Coturnix japonica: one gene and its partner. The protein of the gene in region 1 purifies or fractionates together with the protein of each later gene. This does not show direct contact. Links are inferred from orthologs where the notes say so. Each region holds a gene or a part of one and is shown on either strand. Other genes may lie near its edges.

Region 1 (4,207 bases):
ACTGCAGCGGCAACCAGCTGCACGCAGGCTGCTGCAGCTTGCTGGGTGTAGGGCCCTGCGCACACGAGGGATATGCAGCATGCTGGGAAGTGTAGTCCTGCTGCATCACCTGTGCTGCGTGCTGCTGAGCACGACCCGGCTATGCACAGACTGCTGGGGCTGATGCGTTCTCCCTTGTCCTCTGGGCTCTGTACACTGAGCAGGTTGCCAGTGGGTTTTGACAGTCCCTGCTTTTCCTCATCTGGGCTTGAGGGGCTCGATTTGGGTTTGCTCAGCCCAGCCACGTTGCTGGGCTTGCTGGCACCACGGGAGGGCTGAAGGCATTGGGGACCTTGGTGGCTGTGCTAGGCAGGAGTAGAATGGTGTGGAAATAGTGCAGCACAGCTAGCAGTGCTGATGAGAGAAGGGACTGAAAATCCTGCAGCGGCAATTTCCACAGTCAGGGCTGTCTCCAGGGCTTTCATTTATCCGTTACAGCTTAATTGGATGTAAACTCAGCCACTTGTAAGCAGCAGGAGCCTGAAACAGGCTGTGGTCCTGAGCTTCTCTCTGTAAAATGCCTTACTCTCCATCTCTGCCTTGACCCTGGTGGGGCTGCTGCTCGTGTACACTCTAAGGAAAGGCCAAGGCAAGGTTTGCCTGGATCCCGGCTCCATGGACCTGTATTTTTAGCTTTCAGCACTGCAGATGAGCTGGAGGCAGCATGGCAGATGTTGGGATGCCATGCACAGAATGCCCAGGTACACATCCTGCTGCACGGTGGCTCCAGACACACAGCACCTATTAGCCCATCAAGTGGAGGCACTGGGCTGGAGTGGTGCTGCCATGGACAGGGATGGCTAAAACCCTAAGACAGGCACTGGCCAAAAGCACCACGACTGGAGACAACCTGCGCTGCTGCTTTTCTCAGTGGGGATAGCAGCTAGTTTGGCACAGGGCATGGGGGTACAAGACAGGGAGCCCTCAATGCAGGGAGCCGCAGAGAGGAAAGGATGGAAGGATCAGCAAGGATCAGGATGGAGGAGGAAAATGGGAGGACATGGAAAGGGAGAAAAGGAAAGTGGTCACGCTGTCACCAAGGGGCTGCACTTCCCACAGTCCCAGAGCCACCATCCGGGCAGGGAGCGGCAGATCCACAGCACGCGTCTGGGCTGGGACAGCCGCGATCAGAACCAGAAGCCTCGGCGGGGCCCATCCCCGGCTGCGCTGCTCGTAGGGGGCTCAGCGCCCGTGATCCCACGTGGCGAGGGGCTGGACAGACGTCCACACCGGACCCCACACATCGAAACCCCCACACCGCGGGTGGGGTCTCTGTGCCCAGCGGCGGCGGTGGTCGACAAGGAGTTAAGGGCTGTCCCCGCCTCGGCTCCGCCCCGCCAGTACCAGCGCTCGGGGCGGCGGAGGCGCAGCGCCGGGCCGGGCTGGGGTCGGTGCTGCAGGGCCATGAGCGCTGCGTTCGCCCCCCCCGCACCGCTGCTGCTCGTCGCGGGGCCGGGCCGGGCCGGCTGCGGCGGGACGGCCCGGCCGTGACCCCGCGGGGATGTGAATGGCGCGGGGGTCGCTCGGCGGGGCCGACATGGAGCGGGAGAAGCTGCCGCGGAGGCCCGGCTCGGCGCTGCGAGCGGAGCGGCCCGACGAGAACGAGGCGGGGGAGGCGGCGGGGCCGTGGCCGGGATGCGGGAGGATGCGGCCCTCCTCGTACCGCGCGCTGCGCAGCGCCGTCTCCACCCTGGCGCGCATCGACGATTTCTACTGCGAGAAGATCGGCACCGGCTTCTTCTCCGAGGTGTTCAAGGTGTGCGCGGCGCACGAGCATCATCCCTTACACGGGGGGCGGGGGGGACTGCGCGTCGCGGTACCGGAACGGGGTGGGGGGAGGCCTGGGACCCCCGAGGGCGAGGAGCTGCCCGGCGGCAGCGCTGCTGTTGTTCCCCGGGGGAGGGGAGCGATATTTACATCCAGGCCGGGCGCGGAGCTCCGGAGCGCTGCCACCGGCGGGTCGGAAAGACCCGGGGTGGGGGGGGATCCCGGAGCCGGTTCGGAGGCGGAAGGTGCGGCCGCCCCCCCCCCGTGCAGCCCGAGCGAGGCGGGGCGGTGTGCGGGGTCCGGCTGAAGCGAACTGTGTCGCGGGGCGCCTTTGTGTCGGCACAGGCGCGGGTTGATGGAGTGGGGACGGTCACGCGTGGCCGCGCCCAGGTGTGGGGTGCTGTGGTGCTGGTGGGGGATTGGAGATCCTGGTGGAGATGATGGTGCTCCCAGCCCATCGAAGGGCTGCCTGCCTGTTGTGTTCACTCCGGGGAGAGGTGTGTGCACACGTTATTGTGCTCAGCGTGCCTTGTATCGCCTTACGCTTCCTGTGGCTTCTGCCCTTTCTGACAACAGCTTTGCTGAATCGGGATCCCCCCAGCTCTTCTGCAGCCCCCCCGAGTGCTGCCCTGCAGTGTGGCCGTGGTGGCCGTGCAGAGAGGACCCTCCCATAGCCATCCCTTGCACTCCTGTGGGGCCGTGGCCTCGCTGCTGGCTGGACTCCTCCTATTGATCCTTGGCTGTGAGCGCGCAGCAGCACCTGGGAGCAGAGGGAGGCATTTAATAAAGCCAGGATCTTTAATAATAGATGCTCCCGGATCTCTGCCAGGCCATGGTTTCTCCATGCTCGCTGTCTGCTCCCACACCATACTCACAGTGCCGTGTCTGCAAGGAATTTGGAGGAGCAGAGGGTGCAGGGGTGGGAACCACAGCAGCCAGAACAGGAGGTGTCTGGATGGGCTCTCTGCAGGTACAGAGGGTTGAGGGCAAGCGCTGATTATAGTGGGGCTTAACGGGGTGACAGTGCCCTGATCTCACAAGGAGGATGCAGCACAGGGCCATGTTCCACCCACCTTTCTCCACCCCACAGTGCTTTTTACTGCTGTGGGCATTTGCAGCCGCCTTCTTGGCCCTGCTTCATTCCATCCCTGGTGGGCGTGGGGAATGAGGAGGGGCCTGCACCTCAGTGTCCTTAACCAGGTGGCTTGGCTCTGGGGTGCTGGCACAGCACAGCCATCTGATGGCGTTCCCCTGCCCACCCCTGGCTGAGCCATAGTGGTTGTTCCCGGGGTGCTCCCAGCCGTGCCCCCACGGAGCTGGCCCTCGCTGCTCCCGGCAGCAGCTGGTTCTCGGTGTGATTCCAGAGGCCCACCTGCTTCCTCGGGCACGCAGGCATTGCAGCGAGCCGCCTCTCCATCTCACTGATAGACAGAGCAGATTGAGCTGGCTGTGTTCGTGCCAGACATTTTCTCCAGCCCTTAACCCACTGTTGCATCTCTTCCCACTTCCCTCCCTGCAGCACCCTGCCTTCCCCTGGGGCTGTGCCCAAACATGCGCATCCTCCAGAGTTGCTGTCTCCAGGATGCAGCTCTGCATTGTGCACAGCCCCATGGGGGGCAGCCCTTGCTCAGGTGCCCCCTGCCCATCTCACATGGTTTCCCTGCCGACCTTTGAGGTTTCCTATTTATTCACAAATGACTGGTGCTGCGCATGAATGACACAGCTCTTATCTGGTGTCCTTCTGTGGCAGACCTCATCTCGTTCCACCAGTGACATGGGTAGCACCGATAGGGAAACAAACCCAGTCAGGTGAGCACTGCTGATGCTCAGGTTCTCATTGTGAGCAGCCTGGCTGGGCTTCCTGCTCCCACGCTCCCCAGAGGAAACCTTTCTTGTAGGATCTGCCTTCTCTGCATGGGGAGCAGCTTTTCCAGTCCAGCCCAGTGTGAGACCTGTTGCACTGCTGGGATCCCTGCAAGCTCAGATGGAGCTGTCAGGGTTGCCTGTGTCAGGGTTGCTCCTTGACCTGCACCCCTCTGCCCATCCTCATGGGGGCACTGGGACTAGGGGATGAGAAGGGCACCCAGCCTTTGCTCAAGGTGTGGGACCCCCAGGTGCTGGTGCTGCCCCGTGTCTTGCCAGGAGCGCAGGCTGCAGGGCCGTCTGCTCGCTCTGATTAGCATGTTCTTTAAATAAGACTCTAATTTCCGCTGTTAAAAGAGCCCAGATCCCTTGTGCCCAGGCTGGGGCTGCAGCCAGTCCCTCCCTTCCCCCAGCCCTCATGACAACAGATGGGATGGGGCCATAGAGATGTGGTGCCACAGGTGGAATGAGGCACAGGGAGCTCTGTGGGGTGCTGGGGGCCTTGGGCAGGCAGTGAGGACTGTTTGCTGCCTGGGGG
Region 2 (4,283 bases), on another chromosome or scaffold:
CTTTGGAGCTTCACGAGGCTTACAAATGTTTATATATGCTCTTGTTGACACACTATATCATGTTATCCAGAAGAAAGCAAATTACAGCCTATATATGACAATGCTTTTCTCAGTTATACCTAAAGAGAATTATGTAGAATCTTTTATTTAAAGATACCAAAGCATATCATCAAAAAATGCAAAGAAAAACTGAGATGCTGGAGGAAAAGATGGTCTGGAGATGGACTAAAACGCTTTTACTTCTTGAACACAACAGTGTTAAATAACATTTGAGACCGTTTCCCACCCAGTTCAAGTAAAGCCCCACTTAACAGTGCACACACAAAGCCGATTTCAAAAGGGAAATAGGAGGTAGTTGTTGATGGCATGCTGGCCCCCATTCAGAAATCACTTGGGTAAAGTCTTACCATAGAATCCATACACTTGTGTTATCTGCCTGCTTTCATGATTGCCTCGTAACAGCGTGATACGATCGGGCCATTTAGCTTTTAGTGCCAGAAGGTAAGTGAAAGTCTCAAGACTATAGTAACCTCTATCTACAAAATCGCCCTGCAAAGTCAAAACAGAATTATGAATGAAGAAACAGCAAAAAGGAGAAATGCAAAGTGACACATCCACCTTTAACTCCTCATTGCACAAAGGAACCTGACGCTGAAGGGAGCCAAGCGGTGAGAACGAGCTCAGCTCCCCAGCAATGGTTCACTCACCCCTGCACGGGACGCCCGGCTCTGCCCGCCCTGCAGCCGGGGGCAGCACAGGGGTGGGAGGGCAGAGCGCTGCCACCAGGGCCGGCACCCAGCGCAGAACCGGGACCAACACGGCGCGAGGAGCAAAGCGGCACCGGCACGTACATACCATGAAGATGTAGTTGGTGTCGGGCACCTGCCCGCCGGTCCGGAACAGCTCGCACAGGTCATAGAACTGCGGGAAGGGGCACGAGTCAGCGCGGGCGGCGGCACCGGGCACCGCGGGGCGTCCCGGCCGAGCAGCGCGGCGTGTCCCGTTACCTGCCCGTGGATGTCCCCGCACACGGTGACGGGCGTGGAGACGGGCTGCACGTTGGACTCCTCCAGCAGCAGGTCGCACACGTAGTCACACAGGCGCTGCGGGAACACGGCGGGTAGCGCCACCAGCAGCGCCGGGGTGTGCACCAGCACCACCAACAGCACCGGACAGTATCGCTATCGCTATCGCTATCGCCATCGCCATCGCTATCACTATCGCTATCACTATCGCTATCGCCATCGCTACTACAACCACCGGCACCGTCCACCGCCGCCCGTCCGACCCCGCCCCCCCCCGCCCGGTCCCACCTTGAGGTCGTTCTCGGGCAGGTACTTGCAGAGCCGAGCGATCTCCACGTACTTGTCCAGGTCCAGCGGCGCCATCTTGGGACGGCAGCTCGGAGCCGGAAACGGAGCTCTCCACTTCCGGGAAGCGGCGCGAGACTCGGACGCCAGCGGAACTTCCGCGAACTTCCGGCCGCGCACCGGAAGTTGGCGGCGGCCGGAGCCGTGTGGGGCGGGCGGAGCTCGGCCCGGCCCGGTCCCGCCATGGGGCCGCTGCTGCCGCCGCTGCTGGAGCCGGGCAGCCGCCCGCGGGCGGGCAAGTGGTGAGCGGGGGGCGGGGCGGCGCGGTCCCGGCCGGCTCTCGGCCTCGGCTGAGCGCCGCCCGTCGCTTCCCGCAGGTACCGGCTGGCCCCGCGCGGTGAATGGCCCCGCGGGCGCGTGGGTCACGGCTGCGTGCTGGTACCGGGCGGGTCGGGCCGCGTGCTGCTCCTGGGCGGCGCCGACCCCGCGGGCGCTTTCGCGGACGCGCACTTCGTGGAGCTGGGTGAGGGTCGGGTCGGACCGGGCGGAGCCGCTGCCGTTCCCCGTTAACAGCCCCCGCTGCCGCCGCCGTTCCCCGCTAACGGCCCCGCCCCGCCCGCAGACACACACCGCTGGGCCCCGGCTGCCTGGAGCGGGCTGCGGCCGCGCTACGAGCACGCCACGTTCCTGCCCGCCCGCCTTCCGACGCGACTCTGGGTGTTCGGCGGCGCGCACCCGGCCGGGAACCGGAGCTGCGTCCAAGTGCTGGACCCCGGTGAGTGCCGGCACCTCGTCGGATGCCGGACCTCGGTGGAGCGGGTGTCGGGCCGGGCCGGCGGTGCGGAGCGGCCCTTCAGACCTCGTGTATGCTTTATTAATTGAATGTCTTAATTAGAAATAGGAACCTGGGAGAGTCCCGAGGTGACGGGTGTTCCGCCACTGCCCAGGACATTCCACACCTCCTCAGCAGCTCTAGGGACCTGTCTGTACGTCTTCGGAGGTGGAGACAAAGGAGCGGAGCCGGTTAAAGACCAGCAGCTTCATGTCTTTGACACAGGTACCTGAGTGTGTCGTGAGCTGTACCGGCACTGGAAGTAACCGCCCGCTGTTCTGAAGTTCTGCCTCCCAGATCTCATCAGCCTTGGCTGCGAGTTTCAATGGAGGGCTGAAGGTTGCTGAGGGCTGAAGGTTGCTGCTGACATGTGCTCACCTCTGTATTGCAATGGGGAACTTGGGCCAAAGTGGCAGTATAATGATTTGGGACAGGAAATGCTGTGAGACTTCTCATGACCTGTTGGTATTATTCTGTCTGTTCCTATAGTCCTGCATACCCCAGGAGGGAACCCCAGCGAGACTCGGGGGCTGCTGGTTTGTAGAGCTGACAGTTTTCCTCATACACACACATTCCCATTTTTCAGATGCTTTGACATGGACCCAGCCTGGCACCCACGGTGACCCCCCTTCTCCTCGGCACGGACATGTCATAGTTGCAGTTGGGACCAAGCTCTTCATACATGGAGGTTTAGCTGGTGATATTTTTTATGATGATCTGTTCTGCATCGATACAAGTAAGTAGGGCCACAAGTACCTTAGAACAATGGCTGTGCTATGAAGTGTTTTGCTTTGGTTTTGTTTGTTTTTAATAATGCATAACCATATCTGTTCTTGTTCTCCACCAGCCGACATGAAGTGGGTTAAGATAGCAGCCACTGGTGATGTGCCGGGAGGACGGGCATCCCATTCATCCACTGTGTTTAAAGATCACTTATACATTTTTGGTGGAATAGGTCCAGATGGGACTCTAGATACTACATACAAGTATCATATAGGTAGGGAGACTTCTCTCAGCTTTCTGATGGTAAATGCCAGTCTGTTTGAAAATCTATAAAATACATTGTGGTTTTAGTTCCTAGGCTTCATTCTCCTAGCAATTAGTGTCACTGCACTGGAAATATGTCAGTACAAGTTCTGTTGTTACGGCTAGATGGTACTGCAGACTGGTGCATAATTAGCAATGGTACTATCCAGCGTGGTTTTTGAGTCTGTTTAAAAAAGCACTGTTTAAAGATGTGAATGTATTTTTGTACTGCAGAAGAGCAGAAGTGGACACTGCTGCAGTTTGATTCTCCTCTGCCTGCTGGGAGACTGGACCACGCCATGTGTGTCATTCCCTGGCGGGTTGGCAAGAATGGTGACACTGGAGCTGTCACTAGGGATGATAAAGCTGAGCCAACTGCATCAGCTGGTGACAGAGCTGAGCACCTCTGTGGAGGCCAGGATGAGAAGGCATGTACTGAAGACACAATGGTGCATCTGCTGTTAATATTTGGTGGGATGGATACACAAGCAGAGATATATAGGGACTGCATTGTAAGTCTGATTGAATAGTCCAGCTGCAGCCCTTCACAGGACCATCCCCTTCCTTAAGTTTTTGTATTAGTGTCTGATTAAGTTCTCTATTTCCAATAAACAAATTCTTGCCCTATAGGGGTGGCAGTCCTGCTCTCTGTGCAGTTGTGTACCAGTAGATGTGTCAGTCCCTTTGGGAGGATGCAGCAGCTGTGCCTTCAGCAGCTTGGCTCACGTGCTGCTGGAAGGTGAAAAGCCAGAGGCTGCAGTGATTTGGGGCAGCTTTCTCCCTGAAGCTCACACGCTCCTAGTTGACTATAAAGCCACTTCTACCTGCAGAGCTGAGGTTATCTGCAAAGACTGGGGGATCATTAAGGGAGTTCGTCTTACAGTATTTTGAAAAGAAGAAGATGAGAAACCCTGACTCCCCTGCACCAGGAAAGGTGCCTTTCAAGGCAGTAGAGCTGGTGCTTAGGCCTGAACTTGCTGCTCCTGTTACTACACTGGGGAACCAGTAAGACTGGCCTTGAGATACACAGCTGTTCTCAGTTTTTGACGCCGGCTGGCTTTCATTCTTCAGAAAACTGCATTTCTTTATGATCTTTGTCCCATTTCTGTACCAGC

Evidence for each region. Proteins that work in one complex are often made in the same cells at the same time.
Region 2: the proteins of TESK1 (region 1) and RABEPK purify together in Homo sapiens (affinity purification with mass spectrometry; 3 studies listed by BioGRID and IntAct, with this or other methods). This does not show direct contact. The link is inferred for Coturnix japonica from reciprocal best matches to the Homo sapiens genes TESK1 and RABEPK.

What each region holds. Positions count from the first base shown.
Region 1 is NC_029547.1:8,287,924-8,292,130, forward strand, and holds the start of TESK1 (dual specificity testis-specific protein kinase 1), read left to right. Parts: upstream 1-1,407; 5' UTR 1,408-1,546; coding exon 1,547-1,795; intron 1,796-4,207. UniProt on the Homo sapiens protein: Dual specificity protein kinase activity catalyzing autophosphorylation and phosphorylation of exogenous substrates on both serine/threonine and tyrosine residues.
Region 2 is NC_029532.1:8,074,501-8,078,783, forward strand, and holds RABEPK (rab9 effector protein with kelch motifs), read left to right. Parts: upstream 1-1,483; 5' UTR 1,484-1,553; coding exon 1,554-1,612; intron 1,613-1,687; coding exon 1,688-1,833; intron 1,834-1,932; coding exon 1,933-2,085; intron 2,086-2,205; coding exon 2,206-2,367; intron 2,368-2,728; coding exon 2,729-2,878; intron 2,879-2,989; coding exon 2,990-3,139; intron 3,140-3,402; coding exon 3,403-3,698; 3' UTR 3,699-3,806; downstream 3,807-4,283. Other genes in the region: PPP6C (serine/threonine-protein phosphatase 6 catalytic subunit), read right to left, coding at 408-549, 856-921, 1,008-1,103, 1,314-1,388. UniProt on the Homo sapiens protein: Rab9 effector required for endosome to trans-Golgi network (TGN) transport.